Linked DNA regions of Anolis sagrei. Each later gene encodes a partner of the first gene's protein in a complex. Links are inferred from orthologs where the notes say so. Each region holds a gene or a part of one and is shown in the gene's direction. Other genes may lie near its edges.

The links. The genes of interacting proteins can lie anywhere in the genome.
Region 2: OS9 (region 1) and UBE2J1 share a complex: the UniProt entries of both Homo sapiens proteins name them as parts of the HRD1 complex. The link is inferred for Anolis sagrei from reciprocal best matches to the Homo sapiens genes OS9 and UBE2J1.
Region 3: OS9 (region 1) and HERPUD1 share a complex: the UniProt entries of both Homo sapiens proteins name them as parts of the HRD1 complex. The link is inferred for Anolis sagrei from reciprocal best matches to the Homo sapiens genes OS9 and HERPUD1.
Region 4: OS9 (region 1) and FAM8A1 share a complex: the UniProt entries of both Homo sapiens proteins name them as parts of the HRD1 complex. The link is inferred for Anolis sagrei from reciprocal best matches to the Homo sapiens genes OS9 and FAM8A1.

Annotation. Positions count from the first base shown.
Region 1 is NC_090022.1:186,669,064-186,676,050, forward strand, and holds the start of OS9 (protein OS-9), read left to right. Parts: upstream 1-3,965; 5' UTR 3,966-4,017; coding exon 4,018-4,182; intron 4,183-6,987. UniProt on the Homo sapiens protein: Lectin component of the HRD1 complex, which functions in endoplasmic reticulum (ER) quality control and ER-associated degradation (ERAD).
Region 2 is NC_090021.1:104,920,760-104,928,421, forward strand, and holds the start of UBE2J1 (ubiquitin-conjugating enzyme E2 J1), read left to right. Parts: upstream 1-4,644; 5' UTR 4,645-4,814; coding exon 4,815-4,845; intron 4,846-7,662. UniProt on the Homo sapiens protein: Catalyzes the covalent attachment of ubiquitin to other proteins. Functions in the selective degradation of misfolded membrane proteins from the endoplasmic reticulum (ERAD) and is essential for cells to recover from ER stress.
Region 3 is NC_090028.1:6,191,451-6,198,461, reverse strand, and holds the start of HERPUD1 (homocysteine-responsive endoplasmic reticulum-resident ubiquitin-like domain member 1 protein), read left to right. Parts: upstream 1-3,993; 5' UTR 3,994-4,041; coding exon 4,042-4,188; intron 4,189-7,011. UniProt on the Homo sapiens protein: Component of the endoplasmic reticulum quality control (ERQC) system also called ER-associated degradation (ERAD) involved in ubiquitin-dependent degradation of misfolded endoplasmic reticulum proteins.
Region 4 is NC_090024.1:81,811,936-81,819,312, forward strand, and holds the start of FAM8A1 (protein FAM8A1), read left to right. Parts: upstream 1-4,359; 5' UTR 4,360-4,411; coding exon 4,412-4,892; intron 4,893-7,377. UniProt on the Homo sapiens protein: Plays a role in the assembly of the HRD1 complex, a complex involved in the ubiquitin-proteasome-dependent process of ER-associated degradation (ERAD).

The DNA of each region.
Region 1 (6,987 bases):
CAGCACCATGTCTCCACTATCTTATAACAGCCTTCTTCAGGCAAGTTGGAATTCTGTCATGTTTTAGCATGACACTGACCACTCCGTCTATTTAGTAAATGAATAGCCTTTTTTTAATAACTCAAGAAGGCCAAGTCTCTAACGCACATATGGCAGTTCGTATCTCTCAAAGAAATCTGTCTACATTCTTGGGTGGCTCAAATTAAAAAGCAATCATCAACAAGTTAGAGTCAAAGTTACATTCACTGCATCTGTACCAATTCTAGTGTCAAAGTCAGAGGGGATATAAGCAATTTCATTTGCCAAATGCCAGATAAACTATCCATAGCAAACTGTTTATGTTCTATGAGTTTCTTGAAGATCTTTTATTCAGAGTGTTCCCCATAGTCATAGAATAATAGAGTTGGAAGCTAATCCAATCTCCTACCATGCAGGAAAAGCACAATCAAAGCACCCCTGACAAATGGCCAACCAGCCTCTGCTTAAAAGCCTCCAAGGAAAGAGCTTTCACCATACTTGGAAGCAGAGAGTTCCACTGCTGAACAGCTCTTACAGATAGGAAGTTCTTCCTAATGTTCAGGTGGAATCTCCTTTCCTGGCATTTGAACCCATTGCTCCTAGTCCTAGTCTTCAGGGTAGCAGAAAACAAGCCTACTCCCTCTTCCTTCTGACATCCTTTCACATATTTAAACATGGTCTTCTCTTCTGCAGGTTAAACATCCCCATCTTTTTAAGCTGCTCCTCATAGGACATATTCTCCAGACCTTTGATCATTTGAACAAGTTCCAGTTTGTCAATATCTCTATTGAATGTTTGTGCACCAGCTGCACCCATACCTTGGGAAGTCTGACTTGGCCACCGTAGTCCACGCTCTTGTTACATCCTGTATAGACTACTGCAATGCTCTCTATGTGAGGTTGCCTTTGAAGACTGTCTGGAAGCTTCAACTGGTCCAATGGACGGCAGCCAGGTTCCTAACTGGAGCGGCTCTCAGGGAGCATACAACCCCCTTGTTGCGCCAGCTCCACTGGCTGCCAGTCTGCTACCAGTCGCAAGTCAAAGTGCTGGCTTTGGCCTTTAAAGCCCTAAACGGTTCTGGCCCATCTTACCTGTCCAAATGCATCTCCCCTTATGAACCTTCGAGGACTTTAAGATTGTCTGGAGAGGCCCTGCTCTCGGTCCCGCCATCATCACAAGCATGGCTGGTGGGGACGAGAGACAGGGTCTTCTCAGTGGTGGCCCCTTGGCTATGGAATGCCCTTCCTAGGGAGATCAGATCGGCTTCTTCTCTTCTAGCATTTCAGAAAAAACTCAAGACATGGCTATTTGAGCAGGCATTTGCGAATACTGAGTAACGGACATAAGAACGGAACAACTACATGATGGGACTGGACATTGTTCTAATGTGTATTTATTGAATTATGTTTTATTAGAGTTGTTATGATTTTATTGATGTTAATGTTTTTATCTTGTAATTGTGTTTTTGGTGGCATTGAATTTTGCCTTGTAAACCACCTCGAGTCACCGGAAGGCTGCGAGGGGCGGTATACAAATACAGTAAGTAAGTAAATAAATAAATATTCTAGGTGAGGTCTAACCAAAGCAGAATACAAAGGCACCAGGACTTCCCTCGATCTACATGCTATACTGCTTTTGATGCAGTCCAAAATCCCATTGGCTTTTTAGTTGCTGCATCAAGGGTCTGGAGATCAAGGGTCAAGGGTCTGGAGAACAATCCCTATGAGGAGCGGCTTAAGGAGCTGGGCATGTTTAGCCTGAAGAAGAGAAGGCTGAGAAGCAGGCCTGTAGCCAGAATTTTGTTTGGGGGGGGGGGGGCTGAGTTTAGTTTGGGGGGGGGGGCTGAGTCTAAGTGAAAGAGGGTCTAAACTAGCAAACCTTTTGTATCGTTACCCCAATACCCCCATGCATATGGAATATATTGAGCATGGTGATCAGATCATGATATGAATAAACATAACAGTTTAAATAATGTACCAGTAAGGCCTTCTCTCAAACCACCATGAGAATTTTGGGGAGGGGAGGGGCTGAAGCCCCCCCCCCCCCCGGCTACATGCCTGCTGAGACGAGATATGATAGCCAAATATAAATATGTGAGAGGAAGCCACAGGGAGGAGGGAGCAAGCTTGTTTTCTGCTTCCCTGGAGACTAGGACGTGAAACAATGGCTTTAAACTACAAGAAAGGAGATTCCATCTGAACACGAGGAAGAACTAGGTTCTTGTGGGTTTTTTGGGGCTATATGGCCATGTTCTAGAGGCATTAGAACATGGAATGCCTCTAGAACATGGCCATATAGCCCCAAAAAACCACAAGAACTTAGTGATTCTAGCCATGAAAGCCTTCGACAATACATGAGGAAGAACTTCCTGTGACAGCCGCTCAGCAGTGGAACTCTCTGCCCTGGAGTGTGGTGGAGGCTCTTTCTTTGGAAGCTTTTATACAGAGGCTGGATGGCCATCTGTTAGGGGTGATTTGAATGTAATATTCCTGCTTCTTGGCAGGGGGTTGGACTGGATGGCCCATGAGGTCTCTTCCAACTCTTTGATTCTATGATTCTATGATCACATTGTTGGCTCATGTTCAACTTTTTGTTCACAAAGACTCCAAGATCTTTTTCACATGGACTTGTTATTCAGCCAGGCATGTAGTTCATTCAGCACGAACAACTGTTAATGCAGAAATTCAGTTGGATATGATCTCATGAAAGCAGTAATCAAAAGGATGAAAAAGTCAGTGGTATTTTATTTATTTATTTCTCATGTCAGGGCAGCCAGTCAATTATATTACATTTCTAACAGAACAAAGCAAACAAACAGAGAAAATACAAAATGTGTGAGTTTGGTAGTTGATTAAATGTCCTTTGATCAGTATCTGGCCACTTGGAGTGCCTCTGGTGTTGCCGCAAGAAGGTCCTCCATGGTGCATGCGGCTGGGCTCAGGTTGCATTGCAGCAGGTGGTCTGTGGTTTGCTCCTCTCCGCACTCGCATGTCATGGATTCCACTTTGTATCCCCATTTCTTAAGGTTGGCTCTGCATCTCGTGGTGCCAGAGCGCTGTCTGTTCAGTGCCTTCCAAGTCGCCCAGTCCTCTGTGTGCCCAGGGGGGAGTCTCTCATTTGGTATCAGCCATTGGTTGAGGTTCTGGGTTTGAGCCTGCCACTTTTGGACTCTCGCTTGCTGAGGTGTTCCAGGGAGTGTCTCTGTAGATCTTAGAAAAGTCAGTGGTGACATCTTTGAATGACTGGGGATCCTTGTTGATGGAAGTGTCAATATAGAGAAAAGAAAATAATGTAGTACCTGTTACCAAGCATGACCCCCTCTTATTACAAATCTAATTTATAATAAGGGAACTTATAGTTTTGCCAAGGACACCTTTTTGGCCAAAAGAGCGCTGGTGTCTCATCAAACTACAACTCCCATGTCACAGAAGTCGGCCAGGGAAGGTCAAACAGCATCAAACTATAGCCCCTTCCACACAATTGACTAAAATCCCACACTATCTTCTTCGAACTGGAATATATGGCAGTGTGGACTCAGATAATCCAGTTCAAAGCAGATATTTTGGGATTTTCTGCCTTGATATTCTGGGTTATTTGGCTGTGTGGAAGGGCCCTGTATTAATTCTGTGTTGTAGGCGCACTCGCCTTCTGCCAGCTTTCCAGTAGGGCAGCCGCTTGCCATTCTGATTGGCTGCTTGGATTGCCTGAACTTCAGCCAATCGGTTTCCACCAGGTTTTTTTAGCCGCGGCTTGTGCAAGCGCTCGCTCCCCTGATTGGCCCAAGGAGTGAACCAATGGCGTTTTACCAGGTTTTTTTTCCCCACCGAAAAGCCTCACTCTCCCCGCCCCTTGGAATCAGCCAATGGTAAGCGCCCTCTGCGATAATTGACACCTCACCGGGACCATTCTCTTCCCTGGGTCAGAACGCGAAGGCAGGGCGGAAGTGGCCGTTGCCTAGGAAGGGCAGAAACAGGCGGAGGGGGCGGCCGTGCGGGGAAGATGGCGGCCAGGTTCCTGCTTTCGAGGTTTTGCGGCCCGCTCCTGCTGCTGCTCTGGGCAGCGGCGCTGGGAGGCGGAGAGGCGCTGGGTTCCTTGAACCTGCTGGAGCTCAGCGAGCTGAAGTACGGGATCGAGATCGGGGCCGAGCCAGTGATGGCCGGGCAGGTAGGCCCACCTGGATGGGGAAGAGAGGAAGGGAAGTGTCATCCATACTGGAGCATTAACGCAGTTTGGTATCACTTGAACTGCCATGGCTCAATGCTGAGGAATCCTGGGAGTTGTAGTTTCACAAGGTCGTTAACTCTGCTGAAGAGGGCTGTTGCCTCCCCAAACCCCTGACTCCCATAATTCCATAGCACTAATCTGGGGCAGTTCAATGTGGGCTCAAACTGCGTTAATTCTACAGTGCAGATGCGCCCCCAGATCTGATGCAACTGTAATTGAACTTGATAAACAAAATCAAGAGTGTAATTGTAATGTTACTTACCGTATATTAAAAACTTAGTGACAGGAAATATAATTTTTGGGTTGTTGTATGTTTTTTCGGGCTATATGGCCACGGTCTAGAGGCATTCACTCCTGACGTTTCACCTGCATCTATGGCAAGCATCTTCAAAGGTTGTGAGGTCTGTTGGAACTAGGAAAAAGGGGTTTATATATCTGTGGAATGACCAGGGTGGGACAAAGGACTCTTGTCTGCTGGAGCTAGGTGTGAACGTTTCAACTGTCCACCTTGATTAGCATATAATGGCCTGACAGAGCCTGGAGCAAACTTTTGTTGAGAGGTGATTAGATGCAGGCAAAACGTCAGGAGAGAATGCCTCTAGACCATGGCCATATAGCTCGAAAAAAACATACAATAACCCAGTGATTCCGGCCATGAAAGCCTTCGACAATATAATTTCTGCTACAGAAATGATTAAGAGAAAAAAAATTTTAGAATTATTAATGTCAGATTTAAATATAGTAGTAGGACCTAATTATATAAAGGAAACGCTTACTTCTTGGGAGGAGAGCAATGTCCAATCTTGATAAAATAGTGAAGAGTAGAGACATCACACTGGCAACAAAGATCCGCACAGTTAAAGCAATGGTATTCCCCATAGTAACCTATGGATGCGAGAGCTGGACCATAGGGAAGACTGAGCAAAGGAAGATAGATGCTTTTGAACTGTGGTGTTGGAGGAAAGTTCTGAGAGTGCCTTGGACCGCCAGAAGATCCAACCAGTCCATACTTCAGGAAATAAAGCCCGACTGCTCATTGGAGGGAAGGATAGTAGAGGCAAAGATGAAGTACTTTGGCCACATCATGAGAAGAAATGAAAGCTTAGAGAAGACAATGTTGTTGGGGAAAATGGAAGCAAAAAGGAAAAGGGGCCAACTAAGGGCAAGATGGATGGTTGGGATCCTTGAAGTGACTGGATTGACCTTGAAGGAGCTGGGGGGGGGGGGGGTGACGGCCGACAGGGAGCTCTGGCGTGGGCTGGTCCATGAGGTCACAAAGAGTCAGAAACGACTGAACGAATGAACAACAAATGTAAAATTTAAGACATTGCTTTTACAAAATGAACAAATGAAGAAACATTTAGAACCGCATACTTGGAATACTAAAAAGGATTTTGTTAAAATTCAATTCCAACATGGAGAAACACAGCGTATAGCTGCCAGGAGAGTGTACTAACTGCGTATCACTGGTATGATATTTTAAAGGAATGCTCGCCAAGAGCTACAGCTTTCTTGCATGTTTTATTACACTCCATTGTGTGGATTTGCAGCGTACTGTTGTTGATTATGAGATAATTGTTATATTTAGTGTAAAGAAAAACAATCAGACTTAATTCAAAAAGATAAAAATGGAAATGCATGTGTTCCAACAGCATTTGTGATTTCAAAATAGAATGTATTTTGATCTCAAGCTGGAAGTGTTTGTGACCAACCTGTGTGCTTGAGCCCTTGTGCTGAAGAAACAAAAGTATCTGTGAAGAAATTGAGAAGCACAATGCATGATGATATGGTGAATTGACAACTAAAGTGAGGATTCTCTGAGAGAGGAAGTATGACCTTCAGAATGGCTGCATGTTATCAAGTAAAGCGGAGCCCCCAGTGGCGCAGTGGGTTAAACCCCTGTCCCAGCAGGACTGAAGACCGACAGGTCGCAGGTTCGAATCCGGGGAGAGGCGGATGAGCTCCCTCTATCAGCTCCAGCTCCTCATGCAGGGACATGAGAGAAGCCTCCCACAAGGATGATAAAAACATCAAATCATCCAGGCGTCCCCTGGGCAACGTCCTTGCAGATGGCCAATTCTCTCATACCAGAAGCGACTTGCAGTTTCTCAAGTCGCTCCTGACTTTTTAAAAAAAAAAATCAAGTAAAGCCACAGGACTAGTCAATATAGGAACTTTAACAAGAGATAACAAGAAAACATTGTTCATTATTACAGTTGTTTGTAAAAACAACACATGCATGCAGATAACAGAAGTTAGAAGGTCTATAAAAAGACTCTCCAGAGAAAATGTGCAAGAATAGCAGTGATCAGTTCTCAACCAGTGATGAGAACTGATCAACTTGGCATGCGGACCTTTTTGTTGTATGAAGAATGATTGTATGAGTGAATGAAAACCTGACATCAAGAATTGTATAGTGAAAATGGAGCGATGAAAGTTACTTGTAAAATGTTTGAAATCCAGATCTGGTGTCTGGGAATCATTTTTCAGATCTATAGTCTTGAGTAAACAGTATTCAGTTTCCCCTCTTCTCTGGATCATAAGAACAAACTGCTTTGGGTTACATTTGTCACTTGCAAACATGAAATGCTGCTGGTATAATGTATGCTAGGCTAGTGAGACTTTCTGCCAGGTTTAGTTGGTCCTTGGTTTCTGTTTTTGTTGGTAAGCATTCCAAGTGCAGAACTTGCTTATTTTTTGTTTATGATATTCATTCATTGAGAGGCAGTGCACACTGATAGAGCT
Region 2 (7,662 bases), on another chromosome or scaffold:
TGAAGTAATACTCAAACTGCCTATTTTTTTCAAATCAGGAGGATCTGCATTGAACATGAACATTTAGTTTTAAAATAGCACCCCACATCCCTAATGTTGGTATTGTGCTGAACTTAGTTCATTTCTAAGTGGTGTTCTTATTATCCTGTTTTTAAAATAATATTAGGGATTATCATATGATCCTCATATCTGCAGGAGTGGTACCCATGATATCACTTACGCCCAAAAAATGTTTATAGGCAACTTCTTCCTGTCTCTTCAATAATGGAGCCAATAACTCATATCCAAAACAAAACAATTTAAAGAGGAAATTTATTCAACACATGTCTTGCTTTGGAACTGGTCGTAGTTTCCGGCCTCGCCAACTGTTCTAGCACTAAACACGCACATATAATATCACTAGAGCATAAAACATTATTGACAGTAAATGCTGCAGCAGATGGTACACAGCAGAGAAGCACTCAAACCCTTTCTCTGATAGAGTCCAACACTCTCACAGCCAAGGATCGAATTGGGTCTTCACACAAATCCTACCCAGACTTAAGAATTGCTGGATATATACAGCACCTACATCAGGATGTGATCCTTCCCAGATCACGGCAAATAGAAGATGGACACTCAGAGGGTTTACATTGTTCTGAATCAACTAAAATCAAAGTGCCTGTGTGACTGATTGCAGCAGTAATGACATCTGTGCAAACAGATTGGTAAAAGAGTTAACTCCTCTAGCTGGTTCTCAGTTTTGTACCTTTTCCAAGCCCAAAGTGCAAAGCAAATCCAAAAGTATCCAACAAAGTCATTAAATCAAGTTAACTTTCATTCCACTGAATGGCTATGATGGTCAAAAGGACTGCAGAATCAAAATACAGGCAGTCCCCAAGTTACAAACATCTGACTTACAAATGACTCGTAGTGAAGAACGGGGGTGAGACAATAGGAAGTGAGGGAAGTCAACCTCCTGGAAGAGTTATTATCATGGGGGAAAGGTGTCTCCACTGAAGCTTTATCAACAATCCTTGTTTCCACAACAAGCCATATTTTTCAAAATCCAATGATCACATGGATAGAAAGTGAAGGGAAATCTGCTGAACAGGGCCACAGGCAGCAAAACAAACACCACAGGGATGTTAACCCTTCCCTGTGCTATCCAACACACACACACAGCAAGAGAGGGGGGAAGGGGAGACAGAGAGTGTGAGTTTTTGAATAGCACACACATATATATCACCAGGGTTACTCTTAAAAAATGTATCTGTTCCAACTTGCATATAAATTCAACTTAAGAATAAACCTGCAGAACTATCTTGTATACACAATGGCAAGTATTATGGCAGAACCGACCAACAGTGATAAAGTATACAAATAACTAGATAACAAAGAACAGTTGCTTCAAAATGGGAGTTGACTCAAAGAAGCAAACAGGCTGTTTCCACACAGTAGAATTGCAGCAGTTTGACGCCATATTAACTGCTGTGGAATTCTGGGATTGATGATTTTATGAGAATTGTACCCATCTGTAAAATTACACTAATTCAGCGGTGTGAGTGGTCCCAGAGTTTCAAGATCTAGTCTGTTGGTTGGGGTTTTGGGGAGGCACCAATACTCTTTGACAGAGAAGGCTAAAGACCTTGTCAAACTACATCTCCCAGGATTACAAAGCATTGAGCCATGAAAGTTAAAGTGTTGTCAAACTGCACCCCAAGAGGTATTGCTTGCCAACTGCAAAAAGTCACCCTGGGAGACATGACCCTTTGCAGTTGGTAGGCTGCAGTACGCATTTACATCCAATAATTTAATATTCTAGGCCGCCTTCCTTATTCCCTCCTAGTATGCGTGAGGATTTGGCTAGGGAGGCCTTTTTGTTTAATTGCTGGCAAATCCCTCCTCTGCATTGTGCCAGAAAGGATTCTAGCTATTTCATGTAAAACACATGTGTCCTGGCAAAGATGTTTTGTAAATCCAAAGGACTTGACAACTGCCAGGTTTGCTTCCTACCCTTGTAGCTGAATCTGGGCAAATAATATGTAACCAGACCATATCATTCTTGTGACTGAGACTGTAATAATATTTGCTCTTCTAGATCAGAGGTTCTCGAGCTGTGTGTTGGCTGCAGTGTCTACAAGGAGAAGTGACAAGTGGAAATTTATATTACCGTATCTTACAAATCATATATATGAAATGTTTTCTTGAGATATGTTGTGTATCTCTAAATTTCATTATTACAATTTTTGTATGAGTCCGTATCTCTTATACAAAGTTGGTCTAACCTACGTTTTGCTGGTAAAACCGAATTATGTGTCGCAAAATGATGCCTGTCTAAAAAATGTACTCCCAACATGAAATGTCTGAAAAGCTCATAACCTTTTAGAGAAGAGCCAAAAACCTGTTTGAGTATAATCTTCTCAAGTGGTATACAATCAAATGTAAATATGCAAGGCAGTTTGGCTTCAATTGTTAGACTGAATGATCTGCTGTCTCTGATCTTTTAGGAAACAGAGAATATGCCAGTGCATTAAAAATATCCGTTCTTCAGATGTATTTTTCAGTGCCCAAAATGTACTCTCTCATAAGACAACTTGTTTTATATTATGCACTCAAGAGACAAAACAGACTTTGGTTAAAAAATAACATATTTGGTTTACTCACAACCTTCATGTGTTCAGCATACACAGGTACACAACTTATCAGTCAGTTACAGATATGTTTGAGATCATTTCTATGCCCAGCTCTTTAAGCTGCTCCTCATACGGCTTGTTCTCCAGACCCTTGATCATTTTAGTCACCCTTCTCTGGACACATTCCAGCTTGTCAATTTTTCTCTTCAGTTGTGGTGCCCAGAATTGGACACAGTATTCCAGGTGTGATCTAACCAAGGCAGAATAGAGGGATAGCATGACCTCCCTGGACCTAGACACTATACTCCTATTGATGCAGGCCAAAACCCCATTGGCTTTTTTTGCCGCCGCATCACACTGTTGGCTCATGTTTAACTTGTTGTCCATGAGGACTCCCAAGATCTTTTTCACATGTACTGCTCTTGAGCCAATTCAGAATGGCTCCTTTAACACTTTAAATATCAAGGCTGAAGACTTAAACTTTATAATCATCCAGCTCTCACACAACCAGACACATCTTCCCTTTAGCTCAACCTGCTAAAGACTGGCTCATATTTTAAAATGTCGACTCTTCTGTTGTCAGTTAGCTCCTCCCCTTTTTCCTCCTAGCTCTTCTGAAATGGATACATTTCTACTGCAGGTTTCGCTACTATGGCAACGCATCAACCAATCAGCTGTAGCTAAGGCTGGCCTGCACTTACGATATACCAACATTAATAAACACATTCAAAACTTACATTATAATTAGATATTCCATTACACACCTCTTTCAAACAATGAAGTTATTTTTGAAGGGCAAGCATTTTTCAGACGATGAGACTCTGATTTCCGAAGTCACAACGTGGCTTTTGGAGAAACCTGTCAACTTGTACAACCGAGGCGTTTTGTTATTGTTGTTCATTTGTTCAGTCATTTCTGACCAGCCCATGCCAGAGCTCCCTGTCGGTCGTCACCACCCCCAGCTCCTTCAAGGTCAGTCCAGTCACTTCAAGGATGCCATCCATCCATCTTGCCCTTGGTTGGCCCCTCATCCTTTTTCCTTCCATTTCCCCCAGCATCATTGTCTTCTCTAAGGTTTCCTTTCTTCTCATGATGTGGACAAAATATTTCATCTTTGCCTCTACTATCCTTCCCTCCAATGAGCAGTCGGGCATTATTTCCTGAAGTATGGACTGGTTGGATCTTCTCGCTGTCCAAGGCACTCTCAGCACTTTCCCCCAACACCACAGTTCAAAAGCATCTATCTTCCTTCGCTCAGCCTTCCCTAAGGTCCAGCTCTCACATCCGTAGGTTACTACAGAGAATATCATTGCATTAACTATGCGGATCTTTGTTGCCAGTGTGATGTCTCTACTCTTCACTATTTTATCGAGATTGGACATTGCTCTCCTCCCAAGAAGTAAGCGTCTCCTGATTTCCTGGCCGGTCTGCGCCTGCAGTAATCTTTGCACCTAGAAATACAAAGTCTGTCACGGCCTCCACGTTTTTTCCCTCTATTTCCCAGTTGTCAATCATTCTTGTTGCCATAATCTTGGTTTTTTTTATGTTTAACTGCAACCCAGCTTTTGCACTTTCTTCTTTCACCTTGGTTAGAAGGCTCCTCAGCTCCTCCCTGCTTTCGGCCATCAAAGTGGTGTCATCTGCATATCGAAGGTTGTTAATGTTTCTTCCAGCAATTTTCACCCACAGGAAGTGGGTCAGGGGAAATCTTTAATGAACGCCCCTGGTACATGTAGGCTGTCCTGTCTGCCACAGGCAAGTAGGGAATAGTAAGCACAGTTTGGGCCCAGGATGGCAGTCTTCACAGGAGAATGGGTGCAGTGGAACTGCTGTGGTTGAATGCTATGGGAGAGTGGGAGTTGTGGGTTTGCAATGTCTTTCCCCTTCTCTGTCTCAGCAAACTCCAGCTCCCAGGATTCCCAAGCATTGTGTGGGCGGAGGAAAGCCGGCCTGAGGGCGCATGCGCGTGGTCGCCAGGGACACGTCAAGGCCAGAGCGTGAGGGAGGAGGGAAGGAGGCGGGCTCGCGACTGCCCCGCCTCGCGGCCTCCTCCCCCTCCCCCCTCCGGCCTCGTCAGTTGCCGGGTCAAAACAAAGCCTGGAGCCTGACGTGGCCTGGTTTCGTCTCTGCCGCCGCCGCCGCCTGAGAAGACGAGGAGGAGGAGGGAGAGAAGGAAAGGGAACCCTTCTCGGCGCCGCCATGGAGGCCCGCTACAACCTCAAGAGCCCCGGTGAGCAGAGGAGCAGAAGGGGGAAGGGTGGGCCGAGCGCAGGAGGGGATGCCGGTTTCCCCTGGAATGTGTAGGCAGGGCGGGCTCGGCCCTCACGCGAGACCGCGGCGCCAGGCCTCCTCTAGGCCGCAGCACCGAGCCTCACCAACACCGCCTCCTCCTTCTTTGGCCCCGCTGGCGTGTCTCTATACTGGGCAAGGGATGCAGTCTAGCACCACTCCAACCGCCATGGCTGTGGGATCATGGGATTTGTAGTTCGGGGAGGTACCAGCCCTCCTTGACAGGGAAGACTTAAGCATCTCGTGGAACTACAAATCCCAGCATTCCATAGCCATTTGCTACATTCACACTTGCCTCAAGCAGACAAAAGTTGAAGAATTTTCCTAGTTTCCAACAGACCTCACAACTGAATGGTTGTTGGTTTATCAGGCTGTATGGCCATGTTCTAGAAGCATTCCCTCCTGACGTTTCTCCAGCATCTGTGGCAAGCATCCTCTGAGGATTTTTGCCACAGATGCAAGCAAAACATCAGGGGAGAATGCTTCTTGAACATGGCCACAGAGCCCGAAAAACCTACAACAATGTGAAAAACCTACAATAACCCAGTGATTCCAGCCATGAAAGCCTTTGACAAGATCTCACAACTTCTGAGGCTGCCTGCCATAGATGCAGGTGAAACGTCTGGAGAGAATGCTTCTGGAACATGGCCATACAGCCCAGAAAATTCAGAACACCGCAGTGATTCCGACCACGAAAGCCTTTGACGATAGACGAGAGTTCTTTCTCCCACCGTGGACATTCCAGAGATATATAAACTTCACTTATCCTAGTTTCCAACAGACCCCTCAACCTCTGAGGATGCCTGCCATAGATGTGAACAAAACTTCAGGAGAGAATGCTTCTGGAACATAGCCATACAGCCCGGAAAACTCATAGCAACCCATTCCATAGCAAGTTCGAGTGGTGTCAGTCTGCATTTTAATATTAAGCTGTCGAATTGTAAAAAATATCTTGTAATGTCTTTGCTTAAGTTCTCAGGATAGTGTTTTTGTTGGTATGAGCTTGAATGTTTGCCGTTGCTTGTTGGAAACCACCCTGAATCCCCACGGGGAGATAGGGCGGGATAGAAATAAAATTGTTTATTATTATTATCCTAAAGTGTAGAGCAGGCCTGGACAAACTTCAGCCCTCCAGGTGTTTTGTATTTCAACTCTTACAATTCCTAACAACCGAGAAATTGTGGGAATTGAAGTCCAAAACAGCTAGAGGGCTGAAGTTTGCCCAGGCCTGGTGTAGAGGAACCTTCAGTCACCTCAACCCTGGAGCGCCGTTTTTCTTCAGCCTCACAGCTTTGGCGTTGATTAGACATGGTTTTCATTTGGGTCATGGTGACCTGATGGTGGAATCACACCCTCTCTGCTTTAGACGACAACCCCTTGCAAGCAGTCCCCAAGTTACAAACATTCCAACTTACAAGCAACTCCCTAGTTAAGAATGGGGCTGGAACAACAGGAAGTGAGATAAATCTACCCCTCTGTAGGGAAATTACTTCTGAAAGAGTTATTATCATGGGGAAAAGGTATCTCCACTGAAACTTTTTCACCAGTCCTTGTTTCCACAACAAGCCAATGTTTTTTCAAAATCCAATTCTCACAGGGAGAGGAAATGAGGTAAAATCTTCTGAAGAGGAGCACAGGTAGCAAAACAAACACCACAGGGGTGTTAACCCTTCCTTATGTTGTCCAAAGGTACAGGGTGAGGCAACATAACTTCCTTTTTTTAAATGCGCGCCATTCAGTCGGTGGAAGACGTAGTGGAGTGCTAGTGGTCTCATTCGAGAGGTGGGAATATAAAGTTTTGTCCTGACACAATTCAGTTGTCATCATGCATTGGAACAGTGAGGAGCATGCTTTTGCCGTTGAGGCCTACTTTTCGAGCTTATTTGCAGTGGCCGGCCCACTCTCCAGATTTGGCCCCTTGTGATTTTTTTCTATGGGGCTTTTTGAAATCCCGTGTTTATGTGAACCGTCCAAGGACCCTACAAGATTTGAAGAACAACATCCAGGAAGAAATTGCCAATATAACGCCTGCTATGATGGCAAGTCATGACAAATGCCAAAAATTGGTTTACTCAGTGTATGGAGAATGGGGGACGTCACCTACCTAATTTGATCTTCAAAACTATGTAAAACAAAACTTTAGGTATGCGCCTACATTATAAATTTTTTTTTCTGATTCATATAATGGGTTTTATTAAGTTTTGAAAAAAAGAAGTTATGCTTCCTCACCCTGTATATATATGTGTGTGTGGCTGGAGTTACACTAAATGTATCTGTTCCAACTTACACATAAATTCAACTTAAGAACAAACCTACAGAACCTATTTTGTTCATAACGTGGGACTGCCTGTATATGCTTTTTCTCATTTCTTCTTATTTTAAGGATTGTGGAGCCAAGTAGCAACTTTTCGCTGTTTGTGTATATATGTCCCATCAAAAGACCTGTTGACTTGTGATGACCCCAGGAGAGCCAGGATGGTCCAGTAGTTTGTGTGTTGGGCACAGGGTTTGGGGTCCTCACTCAGCGATAAAAGCCCGCTAGTGATGTAGTGGATTGAGCATTGGACTACAACTCTGGAGATCAGGGTTTGAATCCCCACTCAGCCATAGAAACCCCACTGGGTTACCTTGAGCAAGTCACACTTTCTCAGCCGAAGAGCAGATCTTACCAAGAAATCCCTGCAATAAGTTTACCTTAATTCAAAATGATCTGAAGGCACACAGCAACAAAACAAACTGTTGGTTTCACTCAAAGAAA
Region 3 (7,011 bases), on another chromosome or scaffold:
CTCTCCCTCTTTCTCCTTCCATCCTTCCCTCCTACACTTTCATCCTTCCCTCTTTCCTTCCTCCTTTCCTCTCTCCCTTTCTCCTTCCATCCTTCCTTCCCACCCTTTCATCCTTCCTTCCCTCTTTCCTTCCTCCGTTCCTCTCTCCCTCCTTCTCTTTCCATCCTTCCTTCCCTCCCTCCCACCCTTCCTTCCTTCCCTTTTGTCTATCCTTCCTTCCCTCTTCCTCCTTCAATCCTTCCCTTCTTCCCTTTAATCCTTCCTTCTCTCTTTCCTTCCTCCTCCCCTTCCTTCTTTCCATCACTGGGCAGCCTGTCCTCCTAGCATGCGACCCCCAAGTTAGAAAGTTTTCCCAGGCCTGCTCTAGAGGGATCATGGTTGAGGTTCAGTGTGCTCTCTGGCTGTAAAGTGAACTATAACTCCCACTATGGTCAGTCGTCAGACGTGGTTGCCATCATTACTATTATTATCCTGCTTTTCTCTTCCAAAGGTGATCTTTACTGCCATAGAAGGCAGTTTCAAAGCTGCTTTAAAGCATTGAAGACTATTATCTGAAACCTCGAAGCAATTTCCCAGGAAACCTTGCCCATAGTGGTGATTTATGGTCTCTCTCTGTATGCGCAGGTGTTTCTTTCGCATGGCTCCAGGGAGGAAAAAGGCTCCCCCCTCCCCGACCAAACTGATGCAATGCAGCAGCAAGTTGCAAAATAGGCCGTCAAAAGAAAGCTCAAAATGGACTAAACAGGGGCCCCAAATAAGATTTTAGCAACTCACTTTTCCAAGGAAGGCATAATCTACATAAATAAAAACGTAATGTTCGTTTGTGAGATTAACGCAACTTGAAAACCACTGGACGAATTGACAGCAAATTTAGACAGAATATATCTATCAGGCCAACGAATGACCATCTATATATATATAAATGCTCTGTGCATAATGCGTACCTTAAAAACAAAAGAACCAATGAACGAAATCACACCAAATTTGGCAACAAAACATCTCACAACACAAAGAGTGACCATCACTCAAAAAATTATGATTTTGTCATTTCAGAGTTGTAGTTGCTGGGGTTTATAGTTCACCTACAATCAAAGAGCATTCTGAACTCCACCAGCGATGGAATTGAACCAAACTTGGCACACCAAACTCCCATGAGCAACATAAAATACTGGAAGAGTTTGGTGGGCATTGACCTTGAGTTTGGGAGTTGTAGTTCACCGTCATCCAGAGAGCACTGTGGACTCAAACAATGATGGATCTGGACCAAACTTGGCACAAGCACTCAATATGCCCAAATATGAACACAGGTGGAGTTTGGGGGAAATAGACCTTGACATTTGGGAGTTGTAGTCACTGGGATTCACAGTTCACCTACAATCAAAGAGCATTCTGATCCCCACGAACAACAGAATCGGGGCAAACTTCCCACACAGAACCCCCATGACCAACAGAAAATACTTAAGGCCATCCAGTCCAACTCTCTTCACCAGGGCAAGAAAATGGAATCAGAGCGCTCCTGACAAAGAGCCATCCAGCCATAGATATAGATAGATACGATTCACACACAGATATAGTATCATAGATTTGAAAGGGACCCCTGAAGAAGGACAATTGTATGTTGCATATTTCAGAGTAGACAAACCAGACACTCTCCACATCAACACTGACAAAGAAACAACAAGAAATACCGTTTACTCACAAGCATAATTATATATATTAGAAACCAACACTTTCTCATTACTTTATTTCCCAGATCAACAGTCTGGGCCACAGCAACGCATGGCAGGGGACAGCTAGTATTATATATAATTAATATTATTGTATATATTATATTATATTGGTACTAATATATTAATATCATAGGTATAATAAGTATATATTTCACTATAATGTTATATTCTATTATTACTAATATATAATTATAATTATTATATTATGTAATATATTTATTATGTAACACTATTAATAACAATACAACAGTACATATATATATATAATACTATTAATAACATTATAGTGAAATATCAATGTTATTATATTATATAATTTATTATATTTATTATATTTATTACATTTCTATTGATAGAAATGTATTAAATGTAATATATTATATTATATTGGTACTAATATATTAATATAATAGATAAGTATATAATTCACTATAATGTTATTAATAATATAATATAATATAATATAATATAATATATATTACACTATAATGTTATTGGGAGCCACTGGTGGCACAGTGAGTTAAAGCACTGAGCTGCTGAGCTTGTTGGCCGAAAGGTTTCACGTTCGATTCCAGGGAGCGGCGTGAGCTTCCGCTGTCAGCCCTAGCTTCTGCCAACCTAGCAGTTTGAAAACATGCAAATGTGAGTAGATCAATAGGTACCGCTCCGGCGGGAAGGTAACGGCGCTCCATGCAGTCATGCTGGCCACATGACCTTGGAGGTGTCTATGGACAACGCCGGCTCTTTGGCTTAGAAATGGAGATGAGCACCAACCTCCAGAGTCAGACATGAATGGACTTAATGTCAGGGGACTACCTTTTACTATATATATAATACTATTAATAACATTATAGTGAAATATCAATGTTATTATATTATATAATTTATTATATTTATTATATTTATTACATTTCTATTAATGGAAATGTATTAAATGTAATACATTATATTATATTGGTACTAATATATTAATATAATAGATAAGTATATATTTCACTATAATGTTATTAATAATATAATGTAATATATTTCACTATAATGTTATTAATAATATAATATAATATAATATAATATAATATAATATATATTGGTACTAATATATTAATATGATAAGTATATATTTCACTATAATGTTATTAATATAATGTAATATATATTTTACTATAATGTTATTAATAATATAATATATATTATATTGGTACTAATATATTAATATGATAAGTATATATTTCACTATAATGTTATTAATAATATAATGTAATATATATATCACTATAATGTTATTAATAATATGATATAATATAATATATATTATATTGGTACTAATATATTAATATAAGTATATATTTCATTATAATGTTATTAATAATATAATGTAATATATTTCACTATAATGTTATTAAAAATATAATGTAATATATATTTCACTATAATGTTATTAATAATATAATATAATATAATATATATTATATTGGTACTAATATATTAATATGATAAGTATATATTTCACTATAATGTTATTAATAATATGATATAATATAATATATATTATATTGGTACTAATATATTAATATGATAAGTATATATTTCATTATAATGTTATTAATAATATAATGTAATATAATATAATAATTATTATAGTGGTACTAATATATTAATATGATAAGTATATATTTCACTATAATGTTATTAATAATATAATATAATATAATATAATATAATAATTATTATAGTGGTACTAATATATTAATATGATAAGTATATATTTCATTATAATGTTATTAATAATATAATGTAATATATATTATATTGGTACTAATATATTAATATAATAGATAAGTATATATTTCACTATAATGTTATTAATAATATAATATATATAATATATAATATATATAATAATATAATATATAAACACCTGCAGTGTTTAACATGTTATATATATATATATATATATATATATAAAACATGTTAAAATATATATTATAATTATATAATAGTAATAATAGACTATACTGGTCTCCATCTCATCTTCCCAGCCATCCAATGGGGCTACACAACGTCAACCAATGCCAATGAGATGGACAGCAACATTGCTGAGGCTCTGGCCCCGCCCACTTCTTCCGCTTTCTTTCTCCCCCCGCCCCTTCCGCTGCTGATTGGCCCACGTCCCGCCTCGCTGGCCAATCCGCGAAGGCCAACAACGAGGGGGGCGGAGCCAAGCAGAGTCTATATAAGGGGCCTTCCTGGGCGTGACTTCACGCTGTCGTCACCGGCGGCGGAGGAGAGAGGGAGAAGGTGCTGTGCCGTCATGGAGCCCGGCGAGGCCTCAGGCCTGGTCTCCCTGCTGGTCCGGAGCCCCGCGCAACGCCACGAGGACTTGCCTCTCTCCGCCCGGCGCTCCTGGAGTGTCCGGCGCCTCAAGGCCGAACTCCGCCGCCTGCACCCGGAAGCCCCGGTGAGGCCTTGGGAACAGCTGCGATACCCGGATGTAATGCTTGGGTTGACGTCGGCGCCGCCATCTTCCTTTTGGGCAAAGCGGGAAGAGAAGCCATTCGGGGGGGGGGGGGGGGATACAGCTCCCAGAATCCACCTTTTGGGGAAACTAAAACTCCCAAAGATAATGATAATAATTCCACAGAGATTCTTTTGGGGGTGGATTGGGAGTTCTAGTTCCCCCAAGAGTTAGAAAACATAATAATAGTAGTAATTCTACAGAGATTGGGGGTTATAGTTCCCCCAAGAGTTAGAAAATACAATAATAATTCCACAGAGATTCTTTTGGGGGAGGATTGGGAGTTATAGTTCCCTCAAGAGTTAGAAAATATAATAATACTAATAATTCCACAGAGAATTTTGGGGGAAAATTGGGAGTTATAGTTCCCCCAAGAGTGAGAAAATATAATAATTCAATAGAGAGAGTTATAGTTCCCCCAAGAGTTAGAAAATATAATAATAATTCCATAGAGATTCTTTTGGGGGAAGATTGGGAGTTGTAGTTCCCTCAAGAGTTAGAAAACATAATAATACTAATAGTTCCACAGAGAATTTTGGGGGAAAATTGGGAGTTATAGTTCCCCCAAGAGTTAGAAAATATAGTAATAATTCCACAGAGATTCTTTTGGGGGAGGGTTGGGAGTTCTAGTTCCCCCAAGAGTTAGAAAATATAATACTAATAATTCCATAGAGATTCTTTTGGGGGAGGGTTGGGAGTTCTAGTTCCCCCAAGAGTTAGAAAATATAATACTAATAATTCCATAGAGATTCTTTTGGGGGAGGGTTGGGAGTTATAGTTTCCCCAAGAATTAGAAAATAGAATAATAGTAATAATAATTCCCCCAAGAGTTAGAAAATATAATAATAATTATTCCACAGAGATTCTTTTGGGGGAGGGTTGGGAGTTATAGTTCCCCCAGAGTTAGATAATAATAATAATTCCATAGGGATTCTTTTGAGGGAGGATTAGGAGTTATAGTTCCCCCAAGAGTTAGAAAATATAATACTAATAATAGAGGAAGAAGTTGCATGGGGAAAGAGGATGAAAAAGATTCCAGGGAGTTTTTTCTCTCTCTCTCTCTCTCTTTTTAAGGGGGTTCTGGGAGTTATAGTTTTCCCAAGAGCTGGAGGTAAAAAGTTTATTATTATTGATAAAAGAAGAAGCAAAATTCCAGGGAGATTCTTTTGGGGGAAGAGTGGGAGGTATAGTTTTTCCAAGAGTTAGATATAGGAACTATAATAATAATGATAATAATAGAGGTAGAGGTTGCATGGGGGGAAGAGGAAGAAAAAGATTCCAGGGAGTTTTTTTTGTTAAGGGGGGGGGGTATGGGAGTTATAGTTCTCCCATGAGTTGGAGGTAGAAAATATAATAATAATAATAATAATAATAGAGGAAAAGGAAGGAGAAGAAAATCCAGGGAGATAATTTGGGGAGATGACTGGGAGTTATAGTTTTCCTAAGAGTTAGAGATAGGAACTGCAATAATAATAGAGGAAGAGGTTGCATGGGGGATGAGGAAGAAAAACATTCCAGAGAAATTCTTTTTTTTAAAGGGGGGTTCTAGGAGTTATAGTTCCCCCCCCCCCCCGAATGAGTTGGAGATTAAAAATGTTATGTATTATTATACTTATAGAAGAAGAATTTGCATGGGGGGGGGGAGAAAGAAAAAGATTTCAGAGAGTTTTCTCTCTCTTTTTAAAGGGAGTTCTGGGAGTTATAGTTCTCCCATGAGTTGGAGATAGAAAATAGTATTAATTAATAATTATTATAGCGGAAAAAGAAAAGGAAAAAAATTCAGGGAGATTCTTTTGGGGGAGGATTGGGAGTAAGTTACCCCAAGAGTTAGAATATATAATAATAGAGGAAGAGGTTGCATGGGGAAAAAGGGTGGAAAAGATTCCAGGGAGTTCTCTTGCTCTTTTTTTAAGGGAGTTCTGGGAGTTATAGTTCCCCTCCAAGAGTTCAAGGTAGAAAAATTATATATTATTATTATTATTATTATACTTATAGAAGGGGATGAAAAAGATTCCAGGGAGTTCTCTCTGTTTTTAAGGGAGTTCAGGGAGTTATAGTTCTCCCATGAGTTGGAAATAGAAAATATTATTAATTAATAATTATTATAGAGGAAAAAGAAGAAAATTATCAGGGAGATTCTTTTGGGGGGAGGATTGGGAGTTACAGTTACCCCAAGAATTAGAAAATATAGTAATAGAGGAAGAGGTTGCATGGGGGAAGAGGGTGGAAAAGATTCCAGAGAGTTCTCTCTCTTTTTATAAAGAGGGTTCTGGGAGTTATAGTTCCTGTCCAAAATATTATTATTATTATTATATATGTGTTATTGTTATTGGAGTCCCCAGTGGTGCAGTGGGTTAAACTGGGGAGCGGTGTGAGCTCTCGCTGTTAGCTGCAGCTTATGTCAACCTAGCAGTTCGAAAACATGCAAATGTGAGTAGATCCATAGGTACCGCTTCGGCGTGAAGGTAACAGCATTCCATGCAGTCACGCTAGCCGCATGACCTTGGAGGTGTCTGTGGACAATGCCGGCTCTTTGGCTTAGAAATGGAAATGAGCACTGTCCCCAGAGTTGGACACGACTGGACTCAATGTCAGGGGAAAACATTTACCTTACCTATTATTATAATTATACTCATAGAGCAGTGGTTCGCAACCTGTGGGTCCCCAGGTGTTTTGGCCTATTATTTATTTACTTACAGTATTTATATTCCGCCCTTCTCACCTCGCAGGGGACTCAGGGCGGATTACAATGTACATATACATGGC
Region 4 (7,377 bases), on another chromosome or scaffold:
AGTACATGCCATTTTTCAATAGTAAACTTATCACATGAATGAAAATAAAAATGTAACTTGTTTACATTGTAGAAGGAATGATTTATTGTATAAGCATATATATTATTTTTCATACAGATATAAGTCTAGTTTCATGAGCTATATTAGAAAGCTTTTTAAAATCTTTAGGTAATTTTTTTACAACTAATAAATCCTAGTTTTCATATACACAGACTGTATTCAGATGTAAGAATTTACCATTATTAGAAAAAACTGCTCCATTGATGTGACTATAAAAAGATTACAATATTTTGTTTCTATTTTAAATTAATCATAGTTTAACGTGTTACCTGAATACTAAAGTGTTGTCAGCTGGGGTTTGTTAAAACAAACCAGTTTCATAAACTATTATTTGAAGTTGACTTTTATTACAGATTATAATAATTAAAGTTAATTATAATTTAGGGCTGAGAGGACTAGCTAAATGCTACAGGATAATGGCCACGTGAGAAGTATGTCACTTTTTTTTAAAGTTTTACTATGGTTTTTTCTTATAAAGATAAATCATATTTAGTTTTAAGTCTGAACAAAGCCATTATTATCATTTGGTGTCATCAACAAATCCATCCCTACTATGAATAGGACTCCCAACATACAGCACTGGGAACTGTTTGGCCTTTGCAATATTGGGTGAAAATGTCTATGCTATTTCTGAACAGCCCTAGCTTCTTCCCCTTCCCAGAATCCCATGGGTAGTTTTCATGAGCTAATGAAGCTCCATCCTTGGAGGCTTTTAAACAGAGGCTGGATTGCCATCTGTTGGGTGTGCTTTGATTGTGCTTTTATCCTGCATGGCAGGGGGTTGTACTAAATGGTCCACGTGGTCTCTTCCAGCTGTATTATTCTGATTCTATGAAAGGGCAAGAAGACCAGCCAATCAGCAGTTGTTAGTTGGCGAAGAGATGGAGCTAAAGTCTTCATTTATTCCACTTTCTGGCAGTATATGCCACACTCTCAGCAATTTGCTGGCAATTCACACCAGAACTTCCTGTCTTAAGATTTTCTAAAAATTCAATATTTTCGAATGCGCTCCTTGATTCCTGCCCCTTTGTGGGTTTCCTGATAAACATTTACAATAAAGCATCCGGTCAAAGAACAGATCAGATTATGTGGAATCGAGAAGACACAAAACTTCAGTCTCAAACAAGACTACAGTATTGTTTTGGGATCTCACAGTAGGAGGAACCTAGAAACAAAAGCCTATTGCTCTAAGCGTATAATTCAGCTTGTAATTAAATTTTGTTAGGTCCTTGCTCCGACAGTCTTAGGGTGTATCTATACTGCAAAATTACTGCAGTCTGATACCTCTTTAACTGCCATGGCCCAATGCCATGAAATCATGGGAGTTAGTAAGTATTAATAAGGTCTTGAGCCTTCTCTGCTGAGGAGCACTGATGACTCACCACTACAACTGCTTGGATCCTTTAGCAGTTAAAACGATGTCAAAATGCATCATTTCTACAGTGTAGATTCACCCTAGGTATGTTGCATCACAATGCCCAGGAGATCCCCAGTAGAGCCCCCTTAACAACTATTGTAAAAGGGTGGGATTATACCACAGAGTATAAGGACTAGCGAAAGTATGCCTCCAGGATTGTTTACAAGTATCCCATGGGCCCCTATGCTCCCCCACAAGCACTCTTTGACATAATTGCTAAAGACCTCATAAAGCTCCACCTCCCATAACTCCATACCAGTGAGATGCGGCAGTTAAAAGAGATGTAGATGCACCCTCAGTTAAGTTCATGAGTGTGGGATTGCTCCTGAAACAGTGCTTTAAAAATAGCAGAGATTGCATTACACACATTTTCATGAAGAATTGTTCTAACTCAATTTTGACGTTTTGCAGATGACCACCAGACTATCTAGGCCAGGCATGGGCAAACTTTCTGACTTGGGGGCCACATGCTAGAACTCCCTGCTAGGACTGGTTGCCTGGTAATGGAAGGAAAGAGAGAACCAAGGAAGGCTAGGATGGTCAGAGAGAGAACAGGGGCACAGACAGCAAGGCAAACACCATAGGAGTGTTCACCCTTCCCTATATCATCCAAAGATAAAAAAAATAGATATTTTTGGCTGGAGTTACACTTAAAAATTTGGCATATTCCAACATATAAACAAATGCAACCTAAGAACAAAGGTACAGAAGCTATCTTGTTTGTAACTTTGGGACTGCTGTACATCTGACTTTTGCTTGTCAACCAAAGTTGAGGTACTGATTCTATATTGCCACCAGGTGGCAGAAAGCCACTGAATATTAAACAATTCCCCAAAACTCCCTGAAGAATGTAACACAGACTGGAAAATATAGAATCCAGCTGCAATCCTGTATATGATGTTGGGGGTTTTTGCCCAGTGCACTTAGACCAATGAAAAACACACCAGAGAGGAGATCCAACTCTTATTTCTCTCTGTGCAGAATAAAGGTGCTAGGGAGTATTTTCCAAAATTAACACAAAGCCAGCATAATATCTAGATTTTCTCATGAAAATTAACAGAACAGTCAGCATTATTTGCATCTACACCTTACATTATTGCAAAAATCTCACATATCCATGTGTGTAGATATATATTCACATCTCATAATAATAATTGGGGGGGGAGGGGGGCATTGCCATACTAAAATCTCCCCCAGGCATGATTTTTAGCATTAAAATGAGCTCTAGAACACTATAGTTGAAAATCAACCTGCTAAATGGGTACATTCTCAATATTTGGCTCTTCTTTCTTAATTACTGCCTGGTACCTATTTATACTTTCTTATCTTAGAAGATACAATCCAGAACCATGAGAGCAATCTAAGAGGCCTTTGAAATGAAAATAACTCAAGCTCATTTGCTATATAGTCTTTTAAAATGGAACTGTATTTCTTTTAGCATAAACAAATTAGTAGGTAAAAGATCTCATTGGATTCAGTATGGCTTACATTTGAGTAGACATGTGGGATTGCACTGTCAATACGTTAATTATTTAATGAAACATGTTATATTTAAATGCAAATATATCTTCTAAAAACCACATATGCAATTATGTAGTATGTACATTATCAGTAGAGACATCACACTGGCAACAAAGATCCACCTAGTCAAAGCCATGGTATTCCCTGTAGTAACCTACGGATGTGAGAGCTGGACCTTAGGGAAGGCTGAGCGAAGGAAGATAGATGCTTTTGAACTGTGGTGTTGGAGGAAAGTTCTGAGAGTGCCTTGAACTACGAGAAGATCCAACCAGTCCATCCTCCAGGAAATAAAGCCCAGCTGCTCATTGGAGGGAAGGATACTAGAGACAAAGTTGAAGTACTTTGGCCACATCATGAGGAGACAGGAAAGCCTAGAGAAGACAATTATGCTGGGGAAAGTGGAAGGAAAAAAGAAGAGGGGCCGACCAAGGGCAAGATGGATGGATGGCATCCTTGAAGTGACTAGAATGACCTTGAAGGAACTGGGGGTGGTGACGGCCGACGGAGATCTGGCGTGGGCTGGTCCATGAGGTCACGAAGAGTCGGAGACGACTGAACAAATGAACAACAACAACACATTATCAGCACTGTATACCGAAGGGCCACTCTATCAATATAGGCAGAGCTAAAGCAGAAAACAGTAGTCTATTTGAATAAATGTAAAGGCATAGAGCTAGGCTTGAACTGAGCACCAGCAAAATAAAAACATACCTTTATCAGAGAACAGGATTATAGCTGACAATCAAAGCAATTACTGACCTGACCTATTGCTTGAATGCAAACTATCCTGTTCTGCCCTTTGCCATTACTCCATTTACCTTCTGCCTGGTTAAGGGTTTTGGAGCAACTGAAAGCTTATACAGCATTTGTGACCCCCAAGAAGTCTCCCTCTCTGCCCGCTTTGTTTTGGCTGAAGGGCTCTTGGTAGGTATTTTTTTTTTCGTGTCAGGAAAAACTTGAGAAACTTCAAGTTGCTTCTGGTGTGAGAGAATTGGCCGTCTGCAAGGGCGTTGCCCAAGGGACGCCCGGATGTTTTGATGTTTTACCATCCTTGTGGGAGGCTTCTCTCATGTCCCCGCATGGGGAGCTAGAGCTAACAGAAGGAGCTCATCCGTGCTCTCCCCGGATTCGAACCTGCAACCTGTCAGTCTGCAGTCCTGCCTGCACATGGGTTTAACCCACTGCGTCACAGGGAGCTCCTTGGTGGCGCATGCGCCTCCCAAGAGTCAAAGCGAAGTGGGACATTCCAATCCATAACCTGACCTCTGCCCTCTCCCTGTAGCCCCGCCCCTGAAATGTTGACGTCACAGCGGGGCGGTTGCGTCAGGAGGGAAAAAGAGGACAGTGGGCGGGGACCTGGGCGTGGGACGCGCATGCGCAGTGGGCAGCTCAAACAGTGACAGGGCCGGGGCTATGGCAGAGCCCTCGGAAATGCCTTCTGTCGACGGCGCTGGTCCTGAGGGAGGCGGAGGAGGAGAAAGAAGGAGAAGAGCAGGCGCTGCTTCTTCTTCTCCTTCCTCCTCCGTTCCTGCTGCCGCCTCGGAAGCCCTCAGTGCCGCAGAGTATTCCCGGCGCGTCCACCAATGGCTGTGGGACTCCTACTGCGGTTACCTGAGCTGGCAGACCAGCGGCCTGGCTGCCCTCATGGCCGGAGCCGTGACGACGACGGCGACGACGGCGGGCGCGGCCTCCTCCACATCTCCGAACCCGGGCGCGTGCTGTTACTACGGCAACGTCCCCACCTGCTACTACCTCCTCGCGACCGCCGCTCCAGAGGGCAGGCCCGCCCCCGTTGCCGGGCAACCGCCGCCCCCCGCCGCTAGGCACGCGCCCCCGGCTCCGCGCGCCGGCCCCGCCCCCAGCAGCGTCTCCAGGGAAACCACCCGGCCCGCAGGTGAGCAGAGTGGGAGAGGGCCCATCATCAACAACAACACACAGACTGGGCCTATCTGAAAGGCCCCACATTTGGTTACTTGTGGAGCATTTTGGATAAGGGGTACACAACCTGTATGTCGTTCTTATGTACACTATTATTTATTTATTTGCGACATTTATATGCCGCCCTTCTCACACCGAAGGGGACCCAGAGTGGCTTGCAATATATATATATATATATATATATATATATATATATGCACATATAATCTATATATATATAAATGCTCTGTGCATAATGAGTACCTTAAAAACAAAAAAACCAATGAACAAAATCACACCAAATTTGGCAACAAAACGTCTCACAACACAAGGAGTGATCATCACTCAAAAAATTATGATTTTTGTCATTTGGGACTTGTAGTTGCTGGGATTTATAGTTCACCTACAATCAAAGAGCTTTCCGAACTCCATCAACAATGGAATTGACCCAAACTTGGCATACAGAACTTCCATGACCAACATAAAACATTGGAAGGGTTTGGTGGGCATTGACCTTGAGTTTGGGAGTTGTAGTTCACCTACATCCAGAGAGCACTGTGGACTCAAACAATGATGGATCTGGACCAAACTTGGCACAAGCACTCAATATGCCCAAATATGAACACAGAGGGAGTTTGGGGGAAATAGACCTTGACATTTGGGATTTGTAGTCACTTGGATTCACAGTTCACCTACAATCAAAGAGCATTCTGAATCCCACCAACAATAGAATTGGGCCAAACTTCCCACACAGAACCTCCATGACCTGCACAGATGCAAAGGGTTTGTTGACATAGGAGAGAAGGCACCCACAATGCATCTGCTAATGTTTAGTGTGCCACAGGAGATTCTTGTTGAAACACAGTGCAATTCTGTAATCTCTTTATGTATTTTCACTGGTAACTGAGTGTAGGATTGAAGCTGAACAAGGCTGCTCATCTAGAAATATCTGGGTGTGTTGCAGTGTGGGCACATTGGATAAATTACAGTGGGGCAATACTGGAGTCCAATACAAAGAATAGCGAGAGTATCTACTCTGCATTCTCTTTTTTGTTTAGTTTTCATAACTTTTCAGAAAGTCAGCAGTGAGCTATATGAAGAATGCCTCATTTTCTTCTTTTAACTCCTTCACATTATATGTTCTTGCTATAGTCTGATAAAAAGTAGTATCCCTGAAATATTCCATGACAGTAGTATTAGCCTAGATTCATGCATTTAAAAAATGAAACATGAAATAACATAAATAATTAATCCACCTGATTAGAAGTATGAGAGATTTCAACATTTACCATCAACGCACTCTAGAAATAATCCCCATATTAATTGATCTGCTTTTAGAGCAATACAATTCAGAATAGTTTGTGGTTTGAGTCCCAGGGGCTTTGAACCAGAGATCAGTTTTTTTTTCCGCTCATCTCTTTCTTTTTGAACCTGCTTCGTTATTCATAGGCAGTGTGTCAGTGGATATTGCCCAGTTGCTTTCACTTGCAACTAAACAAGCTAAGGACTTTGGTCTGTTTGTTTGTCATAATACCTGAGCTCTGCAGGTTTGTGCTTTAGCTGCTCCATTTGTAAGCCGGTGCTGATGGTTCATCACAGTTTACTGTTAAAAGTCAAATGCGTCTACTGAGTTCCTAGATTTTGTTATTTAGACTTTCTTAGATTCCATCTATGTATCCTAGTTTTCCAGTGGTTTATAATAAAACATAGATAGAAGTTTCCACAAGTTAGTAATATGAAAAAAACCTTAATTCCAAAAGTCGTCTTCATGCCTCTACAATACAAGCTTCATGGAACAAATTTGTGTGGTATTGGTAACAGTATTGATAAGAGGCATTGAATGCATGTGTTGTTTCTGAATGGTTTTTGAATGGACATCTGCCTCCAATATTAATACAGTTTGACACTACTTGGACTGCCATGGCCCAGTGCTATGGAATTGTGGGAGTTAGCTTTATACGGTCTTGAGCCTTCTCTACCTAGGAGTGCTGATGCCTCACCAAACTACAACTACTGGGTTCTTTAGCACTGAGCCATGGCGATTAGAATTGTGTCAAAGTGCATTATTTCGGCAGTATACTGTAAATGAACCCTAGGTGTGCGTGGCATCACAATGGCCAGGAACTGTGGAGCGCCCCCCCACCCAACAGCTTGCAGTATTGTGAAAGGGTGGGTTTATGCCACAGGGTATAAGGAGTAGACAAAGTATGCCTCCAGATTTTTTGTAAGTGTTCCCTGGGCCCCTATGCTCCCCCCAATTTTTTAGCAATACCTCCTAATGTGTGTGTGGGCAATTTCACGAGGAGTACATCTAGACTGTAGAATTAATGTCGTTTGATATAGTTTGAACTGCCATGGGTCAAGCCGTGTTGTAATGGGAGTTGTAGTTTGATAATAACAATAACAGCATCAATAACAATAATTTTATTTCTTACCTGTCTCTCCCCATGGTTCAAGGTGTG